Rhinolophus ferrumequinum: one gene and its partner. The protein of the gene in region 1 interacts with the protein of each later gene in a pairwise test. Links are inferred from orthologs where the notes say so. Each region holds a gene or a part of one and is shown in the gene's direction. Other genes may lie near its edges.

Region 1 (8,366 bases):
GTAACAGAAATCCACGATATTGACGTTATCCTGACCAGTATTGTAAGGAACTGAGCTAAACCAGATGATAGTGATGTAGGAACACTTTCTTTGTGCTGGGATCATGTCTCGTGAAACTGAGGAATGGAAGCACGGACCAAGGAGAGACGAGGAGTTGTAAAAGAGGATAGTTCATTAAGAGTAAAGAGTAAAGAGTTGCAGCTCTCAGAACAAGAGAGAGTCCCGACCGGGTTGCCCAACATGGGGCAAAGGCTCTGGTTTTTATACCTTCCCTTGCCTGCTTGGAGAAGAGGGCTGGCACCTTCTAATGGAATTCCTCTATCAGGTTTGTCCTGTTTGCCCACCCCAAAGGGATTAACAATCCATCCTTATCTGTTAGATCCTAAAGGGATTAACGAACCCATTCCTATCTATCAGATCTGCTCCTTTGTCTGGCCAAAAGGGATTTATGAGATAATTTATTAACCTCAAGGTGCATTCTCATATCTTTGTCCTGGAGTGAAGGAGCCATTCTAGAACCAGGAGTTTCAGGATATGGCTGCCTTTTGTTTATCCCACCAGGGACCTCCCTGTCTACCTAACAACATGCTAACTAACCAGTCTCAATAGGCTTCTCTCATCTTGTAAGCTTTTGCATTAATAACTTCATTCTTCACCATCCCAGAGACAGAATTCCAGGATTATGCCTCTCTCTAGCATCCCTAGGTCAGGAGGAGGTGATATTCACTCATTTGGATTACAGTCCGTCCTCCCATTTATTTTTACAATATTCTGCAAATAATGGGTTGGTGAGTGGGAGCAGCTATCTAATGCCACATGTCTAATCATTTATGAAATTAATGTTTGGAACAGATGTAACACAGTCCAGATCACTACACTTTTGTTTTTTTGGAAAACAGTGTGCTGATTTTTATGATTTATTTATTGAAATTTTGAGACATTAAAAATACAGAAAAGTACTGTGGATGAAAACAAAGGTGTTCTTTGGAAGAAACCTCAAAGGGTGATCTATCTGATCATAACTTTCTAACTGAGCAGGTCATGGTGGGTAGTCACGCCCTAGGCATATAACTTCTTTGGTAAAGGCTCATCTTTGCCTTCAGCAAGGCCTGTCCATTGTTTCTGTGCATCCAAGTTAACACACCTTAGAAAGAAACCATAACCACCCCCAATAAAGCAAATAAACTTGCTAACTATCCTGCAATCCAGTTCACACCTTTCTCCCACCATCATGTAATCTTACTTTCCCTCCTTATTTTCAAATGCATAAAAGAAGCTGCAAAACTTTCATTTTCCAGAGCATTTGATATCTTGCTCTCCACCATGTCAGTTTGGCTCACATAAACTTATAAAAATTCTCTACAGGTTTGGATGTTTCTTACATCAACAGTACAAAGAATAATTCAAATAGTAATTATGTACCACCACCCCAAGTTGACAATTAGTATTTGTCCCATTTGCCTAAAGCCTTCATTTTTTTTTTTTTTTTTTTTAAGATTTTCTTGGGGAAGGGGAACAGGACTTTACTGGGGAACAGTGTATTTCCAGGGCTTTATTGGGGAACAGTGTGTTTTTTCCAGGACCTATCAGCTCCAAGTCAAGTTTGTCCTTTCAATCTTAGTTGCAGAGGGTACAGCTCAGCTCCAAGTCCAGTTGCTGTTTTCAATCTAGTTGCGGAGGGCGCAGCTCACTGGCCCATGTGGGAATCGAACTGGCAACCCTGTTGTTCAGAGTTCTAAACAACTGAGCTATCCAGCAGCCTCAGCCTTCATTTTTAAAATAACAGAAATAGTGTTACAGACATAGTTAACATCCCCTTTTGTGCATGTTTCCCCTCCCTCATGTTAATGCTCTTGACAAATAGTTCTGCAGTATTTTGCTGATTCACCAAGGAACAGGCCAGGTCTTGTCGGATAAGAACGTGGTAAGCTTCACAGGTACAGTCTCTGGAGTGAAAAAGATATTGTTAGTATGTACAAAGATTAGTTGGTAGTTTTCCAAATCCGCCTGTGTTAGCTTAGGTCTTATGGAGAAGCTTTATTAAAACAGTTTTTCAGGTAAATTCCAAAATCCCACTCCTCGATAAGCCTATTTACTTATGGCTTCACCAAAGCACCAAAAGCACTGACCTATATTCAGGTCAGCTTAGTCACAAAGAGATGGTTTACTAGCTCTTTGTCTCACCTGCTCCCAAGCTGAGGATTCAGTCTGGAGAGAGAGAGAGAGAGAGAGAGAGAGAGAGAGAGAGAGAGAGAGAGAGAGAGAGAGAGAGAGACAGAGAGAGAGAGAGACAGAGAGAGAGACAGAGAGACACAGGAGGTTGATAGGTCAGCCGATAAAGGAGCCTGCACGGTCAGGCAAGTTAAGAAAGTTTATTGTAAGAGAGCAAAGTCTATGGGGCCGTGCAAAGAAGGCTATAGCCCTTGAGGAAGGAGGTGAAGGGGGTTATATAGGGGGCGGTGCTCACAGGGTAGCATTGTTTGAACAGAAAAGGTTGACTGCTTGCCAGGCAACTGCCTGTAGCTGTTTTGAGGCGTTTTCTGTTATGGCAAGTTTGGCTCTGTCTGCAGGCGCAGGCCAACAGATATTTTGTTTTCTTGCAGACATGGCTCTCTGAGACCTAACATTCAGAGACCTAACAGAGATGAAAGTAAATCATCTCTCTTTGAAAGTTGAGGAATTAATTTTAAAGAGAAAAAACAAATGGTAGCAGAAAGTAGTGAAATTCTAACTTAGGCACATGCACTTTTTGCCACTTTCCAACCAAGATTCCTCATAGCAGAAAGAGTGAAAACCTAGATGGCATCTAGTCACCCCCGAATTTATAATCCTCTAGTGGCTTCTATTTGCTTGTGAACACCTTACACCATTGTCCGTGTGAGCGCTGCCTGGCTCGACCTGGCCCTGCCTGCTTGTCTGAGCTCATCACCCCTCTTCCCTTGCTCTCCACCTCAGAGCAAGGCTTCTTTTTCACCTCAGAGCAAGCCACCTCAGAGTAACTGGCTTCTTTTCAGTTCCTGGAAAACACCAAACGTTTTGCCTGAGAAGTTCTATTCTCCCTTAGTTTGTTTTTCATTGTTTAGGTCTCAACTTAAAATATCCCCTTCTTGGAGAGAGCTTTTCATAAACACCTTTTCACCTTATTTTCTATTCCAGCCCCTTTTTTATTTACTTTAGGATATGCCACAATTAAATTTTTTTTCTTTTAATTTCTAGGTTTTTGTCTGGTTTTCCAATGATAATGTCAGCTTCACTGGGACCATGTCTGACCTACACTCATCCAGCACACTGCCTACTACATAGGAAGCGTTCAATAAATGAGGAATGAGAATGAATAAAATGAGTAGAGTCTAGAGGTTAGAATTTATAATCACATCTGGCTGTAGGCTAGAACTCTGTATCACTCATAAGATCTGTCAAAACAAAACCGCATACACTGCTGTGATGAAAGTAAAATAATTTCTGTAAAAGACTATATTACTTTACACCATCTGCTGAAAAGACTATCCCCTTTTTCCGTTGAATTGCCTCGACACCTTTGTCAAAAATCAATTGACCATTCTGGAATTGCTATTCTGTTTCATTAACCTACATACTATCCTTATAGTACACATTTAAAAAGTAAAATAAAAAAGGGAAAAAAGCAAACCCTAAAACTGAAAGCAATCTGAAAGAAATGAACCTAACCGTTTATCAAATTAGTAACATAATTACACAGATTTATTTCATGTGACTTTTTGGGGACAAATTTACATACAATGAACTGCACAGACCTAAAAAGTACAATTAGATGAGTTCTGATGTCTGTGTGATCACCACCCCAATCAAGATACAGAATATTCCCATCATGCTAGAAAGTTCCTTTCTTGTCAATCCCACATCCCCTGCCCCAGGCAATAGTGTGCAGATTTCTATAACCATTAATTAATTTTGCTTATTTCTGAAATTTATATAAACAGAATCACACAGCATGTACATTTTTGTGTCTGGCTTCTTTCCCTCAACACAGTGTTTTTGAGATTACTTTGTATGCCACATATCAATGATTCATTTTTGCTTTATGCTGTGTAATTTCCATTGTATGAGTATACTTCAAAAAGTCAATGTTATTTAAAATAAGACTAGGAGACTAATAAAAATGTAACACCAAATGCAATGCATGACCCCTTTTTTAAACTATAAAAGCCATTAGGACAATCGCGAACATTTAAATATGGACTGGTTATTAGGTACTGCTAGGGAGTTCCTGACGGCCTTCTTAGCCCACTCAGCCTATTCTCGGCAAACCTCTATTAATGCACCGCCATTTTCTCAGTCACACAGGCTTAAAGCCTCTTATGAGGCCAGCTCTAGCCTTCTTTTCAATTCCCATGCACTCTCATACTAGTTCAGGTTCTGTTTTCTTTATTGAGCTATAACTCACATATCATACAATTCACCTATTTAAAGTGTAAAATTAAATGGTTTCAAGTATATTCACAGAGCTGTGTAACCATCACCCCCAAAAGAAACCCTGTACCCATCAGCAGTCACTCCTCATCAGGCTTTTATCATTCCTGATCTGCCTCCTTGCAACAGCATTCTAACTCATCTTCAACGCTCTCCTTCCAACTTATCTCATGTACACACTGACAATTGGATTTCCCTAAAGCGTGGTTAAAGATACTAGGCCCTCTCAACTAGTTACCTTCAGTGATTGCCACAAAGGACGCTTGGGTTCAAGTAAATAAACATCCATTAGCAAATTCTATTCCAGGCCCAGCGCTGGGCGCTACGAACACAATGGATTACCACTGAAGATTCCTTTTATTTCCACAGTGCTTCTGCTCAAGCAGGGCCCTCCACCTAGAATGACCTCTCTACTCCCAACCCCCAGAAATCTTTTCTGACAAGTGGTTGCCAACTCTGCAGCTCTCCTGACATTCTTGACAGTTCTCGAACACGGTCGATTACACACTGAAAGCGCAATACTTGTTTGTTTAATACAGCCGTAGAACATATTCTGTGGATACGGAACATAGTTCTTGGAAGCAGCAATGCTTCTTGTGGGCATCGCCAGCTCCTCTCCCCTCGTCAGTATCCCACCTCCCTTCCATCAGCCCTCAATGACCTCCACCAACCCCAGGAATCACATTTGAGCGACTCCTGGGAAAAGAGGGATCGGAGAGGTCGACTCTCCTGGGTCACACCTGCACGAAGACACCTCCAAAACTGCAAGGTCCGTACTTCCGCTGGGGAAAACGAGCCGCCCCTTCCGGCGCCCCACGGCGCCCCGGCCCGCCCCGCGCCGGCGGTGACGGAAGCACGCCGGGGGTGACCTCACCCTCCAACATGGCGGCGGCGGTAGATTAGGGTCGCCGGTCGCAGCAGGCACCGCCGCTGGGGGACCCTGTCGGAAACAGCTGCCGCCGCCGCCGCCGCCTCTTTCATCTCTTCTGGGGCAGGGGCCAGGGCCAGGTGAGGGAAGTGGGGTTCCGGGCAGGCAGAGCTGGTCCTCACTCAGCTCCTCAGGCGGTTTTTCACTGGGTAGGGAGGTGTCCAGAGACTGTGCCGAACCACCGGCCCCTCAGTGGTTCCGGCGACGCGCGAGTGAGTGTCCGTGTCTGACCGTGAGTGAATGAGTGTGCATGTGTACTGGCGCTTCTTCGCCCGAGGGTTCTAGAAGCTTAAAGGGCCCATTTCACCGTAGCTGGACCTGTCCAGCAAGGTCCCGTCGCGAACGCTTGTGGAGCGGGGCTTCCTGCGTGGGCTGCGGGAGGCGAAGGATCCCGGCTCCGGCTCTGCACCGCGGTTCTTCCCCACCGATACCCTCACACCGAAAACCCGGCTCCATTTTTAGAACCAGGCTGGGGAACGTGGGCTTCTTTTTGGTCGAGGAAAAGGTTTTCTTGCGATTCGTTTAGAATTATAGATTAGCTCTGCCCATCCTAGTCGTTTCTTCTTAACAGTGTTAGAAATTGTTTATGCTTTCTTCACTGCTGTTCTGACACCCATTATCATTTTTTCAGAAAAACCCTCCATACCCTTGGATGCAATAGTTTACACTGTGTTGTTTCTTACTTTGATTTCTATCTTCTCACCATTCCAAGGAGATCCCAAGTTTCTTTTCTTTAATAACTGACTGAAGGAAAACTAGACTCTTGAGTTGAGGCTTTAACGGGGTTGGAAATCGGACGGAACTGGCCAGCTCTTCACAGGCTCCTGACTGCTAGCTTTGTTTAGCTCTTAAGCACTCCCCGCACAAGTGTGTGTTTTTCCAAAATAGCTATCTCATCGTCTCTATTTAGAAGTAAACTGACAGTCCCTCCTTAACCCCCACTTCAATGACATAAAGCAACCAACAGAAAGTCTTTGCGAAATTTTTAGTAAGAGTGCCCCTGGGAGTTTGGTGTAAACCAGAATGTTGATCTCTGCTCTGACTTGTGTGACCTTGGATAGTTTGCCACACCCTTCTGATACCTTCTTCTTTCCTCCCAGAAAATTAAGCAAGTGTTTGTGTAAGTAGTGAACTATTTATACCTCATACACACAGTTGGATAAATATACACTGCACATTTGCACCTGCAAATTGAAAATATTTACACCGTTATGAAATATTCTTCATTTGATGATAGGCCATTAAGGATTTTGAAAATCCTTTTACTCTCAGTAAATACCATCTAAGTATTTTTTTTTTTAATGACTCATTTTCTCATGGAGAACTCTACCTCAGTAGTTGAATTCAGTTGGAGGATATGTAAGGTTGAGTTCATCCTGTTTTGTAAAGAAAAAATGTGATCACTAGCACACCGGTTAGTCAATATTTACTAAATATCTTTTTTTTTTTTTTTTAAGATTTTATTGGAGAAGGGAAGCAGGACTTCATTGGGGAACAGTGTGTATTTTCCAGGACTATCAGGGAAGTGTGTTTTTCCCAGGACCCATCAGCTCCAAGTCAAGTTGTCCTTTCAATCTTAGTTGTGGAGGGCACAGCTCAGCTCTAAGTCCAGTTGCCCTTGTTCAATCTTAGTTGCAGGGGGCGCAGTCCACCGGCCCTTGCGGGGGTCGAACCAGCAACCTTGTGGTTAAGAGCATGCACTCCAACAAACTGAGCCATCTGGCTGCCCTAAATATCTTAAATAAGAAGTTGTTAGGACAAGTGATTTGCAACTATAATAATCATTGTTTAAAAAGATATTTCTTATGAAATATTTTCAATGTACGAAACAGAAGTTTTAAACAATTAGTACTGCCATCCTGCTTTTTATGACTGTTTTCCAAACATGATTTTGGTTCATATCTTATTCCAAATATATGGTCACCAAGAATTCTTAAGTAATACATATTACAGAGTTGAAGGGAGCTGGACTCTTTTAAACAGCTTTATTGAGATATAATTCTCGCATACTGGTACAACTCACCAATTGCACAATTGAATGGTTTTTAGTATATTCACTGAGTGTATAACCATCACCACAATTTTCAGCACCCCAAAAAGAAATCTGGTACCCATTAGGAGTCATTATTTCCACTCTCCCCCACCTTCCCTACCTGGGCAACCACCGTTTTGCTTTCTGTCTGTAGATTTGCTGATTCTGGATATTTCATATAAGTGGAATTATGTAATATTTGGACTTTGTGACTGGCTTCTTTTACTTAGCATAATGTTTTCAGGGTTCAGCCATGTTATGGCATATGTCAGAACCTCATTCCTTTTTATGGCCTGATATTCCGTTGTATGAATATATCACATTTTTATTTATCAGTTGATGGGCAGATATTTCCACTATTTGGCTGTTTTATATATAATGCTGCTATGACTATTCCTGTGCAGGTTTTTATATAGGCATGTGTTTTTATTTCTCTCTGGCGTATATACTTAGGAGTGTAACAGTAACTGAATTTTATGTCTTCCTTTTACACAAGCTATCTACACATATGGGAATCCTAACTTACTGTGAAAGTCAGACTGTGTTTGTATGTCTGTGGGGAGAGAGTGAGAGTAAGGCTTTCCTCCATAAGTATATTATTATCTGGGAGTGCCAACTGCTGAGTGAAAACATTTTTGGGCAGATCTTAACACAAGATTGAACTGGAGTGTTTCAATTAGACATGTTGCAGTTGGAAAGGGATAGCCTACATTAGAATACTTAGGTTTTGCTGAGTTTTAAAAATGACACGTTGCCCAGTTGCATTTCTCAGCTGGATGGGGTGAATTTTTGCAATTTTACAGTTTTTATTAGGATTATTTAATTTTACCTATTTTCTTTTGGAAAAAGTCTTAGAATTCTGTAGGAGCTAGTAAAGCATGGATTAAGAAAATAGAGTTATTGGATTCATGTTAATTTCTGGAACTTTTAAAAAAATTCCCTACTCAAACCACCAGT
Region 2 (7,850 bases), on another chromosome or scaffold:
GTCTAGAAGGTCTAATTAAAAAAACTCCTATCTTTGAAGCACTGTGTGCATCACAAAAATTTATTCAAAGCCTGTATTTTACTGTAATATATTTGCCTAAGTATTAAAATGTTTTAATTTCACTACCACTTCAATTAGCTTTTTGTCAAAAAATTTCCAGAAAAACTTATCTATCTTGATGCTTCTTTTGCCTCCGACACAGCTACAAGTTGGAGTTTAAATACTCAGTGTAAAAAATTACATACATCATGATTTTCTTTATATAAAGTAAAATAAAAAATACTTTTAAGGAATACATTTTTTAAATGCCATAAAACTATACAAAAACAAATGGAAAGAAATAAACCCAGGATTCAGAATAATCATTTGCTTGGGTGGGGAGAATAGGACAAACAGGGCAAGAACATGTAGTTCGATATGTTATTACTAACATCCTGGCTTTTATTTTAGGTAATAATCTTAGAGATGCTTATTACTAAAATTTAAGGAAACTACTATTGCAATAAAATAAAAACTAAGTAACTACATAAATGAAGGCAGATAAGAGTAAATAAAGTACTATGAATTATTATGAATCCAATGAGGAAAGAAAAAATGTATTTTTAAGTTTTTAAAAGCTTGGTTTAGGGAATATGAGCTTTTGGTTTGGCCTTCCTCCACTCTTACCCCCCAAGGATATTTAAAATATTTTTAAAGGGCGAGAAATATTTTGACAGAATTTATTCTCATTCCACTTTTATCCCTAACCTCCCAAATTAGATGCACAGAACTAAAAAGAGAATGAATTACACTGAAATACTTATTTTAAAAAACAAATTTGTGATATAATATTTGTGCTTCTTTAATACATTAAATAACAATATTTACAGGCAGGTCTAATTATGGCAACTTCAAAGTAGTGATTAATGTAAACAGTATTTCAAACTATCAAAACAACGACTATATGAAATTATCCTTCCTCACTCCCCCCACAATGATCTTAAAATTGAGAAGGATTTTATAATTGTCCCTAAGACTTAATTCTGCAGGATCACTCATTCACTACCAATTCACTTGCAATCTTTCCTGGTCCCCACTTTATTCACTCATCTAATCATTCATTCAATCAATACTACAAAGAACAAACAGTGATATAAATACGAATTATTGGATCAGCTCTCAAGGAGCTTGCAATCTAGTCTAGGCACATACACTAATAAATACAATAAAAGAGAGATGATACCAAAGGTACATGCAAATTGTTTGATATAAGGCAGGGAGGGCTGCACAGCACATATAAATTGACAGCCCTTTGATGGGCACAAAGGTTGGTAAGAAGGACACTCCTACAAAAAGCAGGGAGGCTGAAAATAGAACAGCAGCCTGTTCAGAGAGTCCCTGGCAGCTAACTGTACAAGGCCAGAGACAGACTACAAAGGAATGTGATAAGAGACGAAGCTGCAAAGACAGGGCCTAAAAAAGCCAACTCAGAAGTCAGGATTTTAGCCTCTTTGGGAGCTCAGTCCTCCTCTTTCAAAAAGGCCGCCACACACAACTAAAAAACATCCTGTAACAAAGGAATTCTTCATTTTTTGTGTGTGCCATGGACTTTTCTGGCAGACTGCTGAAGCTTACTGATCTGTTCTCCAAATTTTTTTATATACATAAAATACACAGGATTCCAAATAATTTTTATAGACATTCTGAAACTCTTACGGTAGTGAAGCCTAAGCGTAGCTGCGCATGTGCCTTTCTTCTGGAGAGCACAGTAAGGAAGGAGTAAGAAAAGAGTAACTTTACATGGAGAAACCTGACGAACATTACACTTCAGCCAGGCGATCAAGGTTAACAACACTGATGTCACAGTGATAGTTTACACTTTGACAGGTGATGAAAACGGCACTTGAACTCTCTCGTCTTCCTTGCAAAAACACATCTAACTATAAGAAAAACATCAGACAAATCCCAACTGGAGGTCATTCCACAAAATATCTGACTAGAACTCTTCAAAATGGTTGGGGTTATCAAAAAAAAAGCAAACTCTGAGGAATGTCACAATCAAGGGGACCAAAGGAAGCATGTCTACTAAAGGCAATCTGGTGTCCTGGATAAGATCCTGGCAAAGAAAAGGAACACTGGGGAAAACTGAGGAAATCTGAATAAAGTATGGGTTTTGGTTAAAATAATCTATTACCATAGGTGTAACTGTTGTAACAAATGTACCATACTAATGCAGGATATTAACAATAGGGGAAACCAGGTGCAGGGTATACAGGAACCCTCTGCACTGTATTTGTAATAATTCTGTAAATTTAGGGTTGTTCCAAAATAAATTTTTTTAAAAAATTAAGATGCACAGAACTAGAAAGAAAATGAATTACACTGAAATACTTATTTTAAAAAACAAATTTGAGATGTAATATTTGGGCTTCTTTAACACAATAAATAATATTTACAGGCAGGTTTAATTATGGTAGTTTCAAACTAGTGATTAAAGTAAACAGTATTTCAAGCTATCTGCAACAACTGTAACATATTAAATTATCTGAAATTGCTACAGTGACAGTCAAATGTGCTACTAACACTTCTGCAGTTTGTGGTGCATAGTCAAAACTGAAGAAATGCTAAATCTCATTTAAAGGTTACTAAAGATGTAATTGTTTTCCTATCCAAGTTCAAAGACCATTGAACTCTACCCATGGACTGCAGGTTAAGAATCATCTTCTAAAGGCAAATAAAAACTAAATACTAACACTAAATGGACACTGTGTTGCAGGACCTCTGATAGTCACTACACATAATTCATCTCATTAAACCCTCACAACAAACCCAGTCCACAGACAAGGCAGCTTAGGGAAGTTGTACATGATCATGTGACCAAAAATTCAAATTCTATAGCTTGATGCAAAATGGAGTCTGACAAAGCACCTCTAAAAACAATTTCCAGCCCCTAGTTGTGGAATTTTGAGGAACACTACTGATTATACTGTAGTTCACCAATGCTCCTACTAAACAACTTTCTGTTTAGGCTAAATCAGGCTGAAACTGAAGTACGTATAACACTTCCTAGAGCTCTACTTGTACTAATAAACAGCAGCAGCTAACCAAAAGGAAAAAGGTAAACACAGAAGCTCCCCACCCTTGTACAAATCTAAAAAGTATATTTTTGTCTCCATTTACCAACTCTGACACACCCAGTTCATTAGTATCCTTCTAAGGTGTGTGTATGCGCGCACGCGCACATGCACACCTATGTAGGTTTTTAAAGCAAATATAGCAACATGTGAGATATCCATAGCATATTTTATTGAGTCTATGGCAGTTTCTTAGTTTATCCAACTGAGTATTACTAATTCTATTTTCTTAGAACTAGAGGTGCTGATACAATGATCTATTTTCAAATGAATGTGTAACTGGCAGACACTTAAAGCAGACTTTCTAAAAATAGTAAAAGTTTTCAATAATTCATTTATCTCCATCAAAATTTCTTAGTTTATGTATGCTACTCTATGAAATCTATATCCAAATTATGATTTCCACCCCCACAACATGCCATTCTATCAGTGAACTGTAACTAAACAGATCCGGATTTGAATCCTCAGTCTCTCTCTTAGCAGATGTGTCATCTTTGACAAATTACTGTAAACCATTTTATGCTTGCATTTCAAGCCTAGGTTTTATATTTCAGTCATCATTGGCAATTGATGATAATAAAAGATTCTTATTATGTAAGGAATGAAACAAAGAATGCTTGTAGAGCACTGAGCAAATGTCAAACATTATTCATGAAATATTTTTAATTTTGAGTTTTACTTTTAAGTTGTAAATTTTCCGTTAGCAATGTTCACAGAGGGTCATCACTGAAATATTTTTTCTGTTAGTTGTAGCTGATTCTTTAAATAATGAGAGATTTGCTCTAGAGAATGATTTTATCTTTCTTTGGAAGAAGCCAAAATCATCTCCATTTAAGGGCACATCAGCAGCTGCTGCACAACACATTTTAGTTACCCATAAGAAAGTGAAGCAGGCTGAGTTCATGTCTAATTATTGTCTTGCTAGAAGCTAACATTATGAAGCTGCAATGTCAAAGCACCTGCAGCAAGAGCAACTCAATACAACTTGTTTGGCTTAAACCAGTATTCTCATTCTATGAAAGTTCCTATTACTGTAACTATTTTAGTTCTTCAACATTATCACCATGAGAATACAATCATTTCTAAGCCCAAAGATGCACAAGTATTTAAAAAGAGCTTTCTACCACCCCAAACAGTTTTTTCATCTCTCTCATATACTTTTAAAAGTTAAAAATGAGGCACAAAGTGTTAATGACCTTTCCAAACCTAAAGTGAGATAAATGACATTCTAAAAAGTTTGGGTGTGGTAAGACTATGGCTAACCAATCACATCTGCAGAATTCCTCTGTGACATCATGAGACCTCCCTAGAACACTTTTTCTCCTCTCCCAACTTCAATTGTTCCCATAAATCTGGTAACAGAGAAAACTTTCCAGCTAAACGCCGATAAAGACTTCATACCACTCACAACACTCTATACATTGTGATCGTCACAACAGCTAAGGTAAGAAATAGATTTCACTGATTTGGGAAATTCTTAGTTTCTGTAATTCAAACTTACTGAACTCTTTAAAAAGAATTAATCATATATTGTAAATTATAGCTCAAAGTTAGACAATAAAATGTCTGATATGACAAAAAGCTTAATTTCTAAATAAATGCTTATAATTCAGTGACTAAGAATAAGACTTAGCTTTGAAATGAAAAGGGTTGCATTCATCTTTGATCTTGGTTATTGGTTTTTTCATTTTAATTTTCACGTTCATTTTGCTTTTCAAAGTGAATTTCTGCCAATTAAAATACCTTTCAAATTTGGTTGGTGATAGTGGTGATTTGATTTCTTCAGGCAAAAACAATGGCTTCATTTTGTTATTTGTTATTCTGCTGAGAAACAGGGTGGGCTGTCTACATCTGGAATACTATGAACAGTCCTGTGATTGTACAACATGCACATCATTGGCATAACTTTTCCAATATTATTATTATGATTCCTTACAGGGAATATTAACAAAGTAGAATTGAAGAATATATAATCAAAACTATTTAAAATGCTTTTGAAGACTTTTTTCCTTTCTATAAAGTCCAGTCAACTTTAACAAACACTGCTAAAAAGAAATCCAAGCTTTTAATAAATTGAGTTACTTACATTAATTTCAATACCATATCATAAATAACAAGTTTGAAAATTCCAAAACACTTGTCAAGAACACATGCAAAATTCTTTCTAAATGCACAGAATACAATGTGGCACTTTAAAAATAGATCTTATTTTAGCAGCACAAACATTCCTAAATATCCCATTTGAATGAATTTGATAAAATGAGTGTATATTCTACCTAGCAATGAAAATACTAAGTTACAATCTTCAGTTTCCTCTCTCACATTTAGAAGGGGGGGGGGAGGAAAAAAGAAAAATAACTTCTGGTTGAATTCTACTCTACTTTTTATGTTATAAATCTCAATTTACTATATGAAATGTGTCTTCATTCTTAAATCTCATAGTATAAAGAATATTACATCGATTTTATTTCATTCTTTTCATTTTCATATATATAGGTCAAAATAAAATTCATCTCTAAAATTCTGAATTCCTATGACAAATGTTAACTCTACTGCTAGTTATAGAAAGAACTCTGTAATTCCACAAGCAGCTTTCCTTAAGGCATGCAAAAACATTCCTGGTTTTTGCCTACCAATGAGGCACCCTCACTGCCTCTCAATATCTTTACATTCATAAAATGTTTTTCCTTTGATATTACAGGGAAGTCACTCAGTGTAGGTAGGTGTCTTATATGCATATTTATTTATTTTTACTCATATACCTATCAAATTACATTCTCACATTTCAACTGTTTGTGAGTCTTTATAGTACCAGACTATCACCACATCACCTATTGCTCCAAAAAATTGACAATATCTAGAAAGAGCAGAAATTCTATTAAAGATATCCTTAGATAATGTGTCCAGAAAAACAAAAATTAGTTACGGTGACTGTTGTTCAAATTTCAAACATTGTGTTAGTGTCAGATATTTTGTACCAACAAGTTCATCTCAAACACAGGGTGAAATTTAAGTATTGTCTTTGTTTATAAAGACGTGTGGTTTAAAATTAAGTGCTAAAAAGGAGTGTCAGATGAAATAAAATGGAAGAAATGTGCAAGATGTTTAAATTATGAAAACTGATTAAATTTTAAAGACACGTGAAAGAGCTAGAGTACCTTGCTTTATTAAAAGAAGTCACATCACTAGCATTTCCTAAGACTCAAATATCAAAAATTATTTTAATAGTATTTTAGTAGACATAAAGAAAAGTAATATTCCAGAAAAAAATTGCATTTGGTTACATACTTATCCATACTGTTTCTTAATTTCACTAATTAGAGATAGAAGAATACTGGTATAGATAAAACAGTTCAAAGAAAGAATGAAAATTTTAATTTACTAAATGTATTAAGCAATATTATTAATTATGTAATAAATTATGTAACATATTAAAATTTTAAGTAAAACTTAAATGTAAAGATTAGATTACCTCTCTAAGCAAGGCTGTTTATTTATTAACAATCCTAGAAATATAAAGTCAATTGAAACTGCTTTCTTTTTCCTTGAACAATTTTCTAAATGCACTAGTGTATATAAAAACTTCACTTGATCCTTTTAGCTCCCGATATGTTTGACACCACATCTCTGTTTTACAATTTAGAAAACAGATGTGAAAACGGTGAGTTGCCCAAGGTCACAGATGGGAAATGGTGGAACCTTGGCAGGGGCCAAGATTTTCTGACTCTAAACCACATGTACATCCCACCCACGGGTCAACATGGCTTAAAAATAAAACATGACATTGGCAAAGCAAAATAAATTGAAAGTCCTCAAATACTGTTAATGGTACTCTAAAAGGCAAAGTTAGAGGACACAAACTTCTATTTTATTTAGAACCTCTCCATTTCATTTCAAGTTAATTTATGTATAAGGCATTATGTCCTTAATAGCCTATGAGTATACTACTATCCTGTTTATTTTCAAAGCCAGGGATGTAAGCATGTTATAGATGATCTTAGTTATTAAGTAATACACCCTGGAAGGTAAAACTGAAAACAATTACCAAGACTTTAAAAAAATAACATGATCAATCAATCAAATTAAAGTTCCTTTTTAATGTGTTTCACTGTTAAACTACTCAATGCTTTTCATCTATTTAGCCTTGATTACCTAAAATCCAGGTTAATTTCTCCTCAAAACTTTTCACAAAGCCACATTTTCACACTTCATTCCAGTATTATATTAAATCTTTTGGCTTTCCTCAATTTCCTTTCTCACCTCCTCACATTCTACCATTTAAAATATTCAACCCCATATGTTCTGAAATGCTTGAACAGAGGAATCTTGTTTTTATGCGGTGGAAATCACTAACCTTCATCTCAACTGTGAATTAACAGTGCTGATCATACCAGCCAAGGAGCAAACCTAAAGGTTAGAAATCTGGGAAATAATCCTTCTAAATTACAGTGACCTAAATCAGAAAATATGTACTCTCTTTGAACATTTCTAGAAATAGTACATCAATGTTCTCACTCTACATAATTCTGAAGCATTTAGTACCAAATAAACACATGAAAATGAGGCCTAAGTATACCCATCTCCACCCCAGTATACTTGTAGGTAACTGAGGACCTCTAGTGCTTTTCAAAATGTACTCCACCTTCAGGTCTTTAAAAAACAACAAAAGCCAATTCACTCACATTAGTGGGGGTATATTTCACTGGCATTCATTTTTCCTTAAAAGTTTCCCTTCAC

Evidence for each region. The genes of interacting proteins can lie anywhere in the genome.
Region 2: the proteins of BCL2L13 (region 1) and PLN interact in binary tests that used the Homo sapiens proteins (3 or more experiments, as listed by UniProt). The two-hybrid records come from large-scale screens. The link is inferred for Rhinolophus ferrumequinum from reciprocal best matches to the Homo sapiens genes BCL2L13 and PLN.

Annotation. Positions count from the first base shown.
Region 1 is NC_046293.1:91,127,368-91,135,733, forward strand, and holds the start of BCL2L13 (bcl-2-like protein 13), read left to right. Parts: upstream 1-5,292; 5' UTR 5,293-5,457; intron 5,458-8,366. UniProt on the Homo sapiens protein: May promote the activation of caspase-3 and apoptosis.
Region 2 is NC_046286.1:68,961,935-68,969,784, forward strand, and holds the start of PLN (cardiac phospholamban), read left to right. Parts: upstream 1-4,443; 5' UTR 4,444-4,557; intron 4,558-7,850. UniProt on the Homo sapiens protein: Reversibly inhibits the activity of ATP2A2/SERCA2 in cardiac sarcoplasmic reticulum by decreasing the apparent affinity of the ATPase for Ca(2+).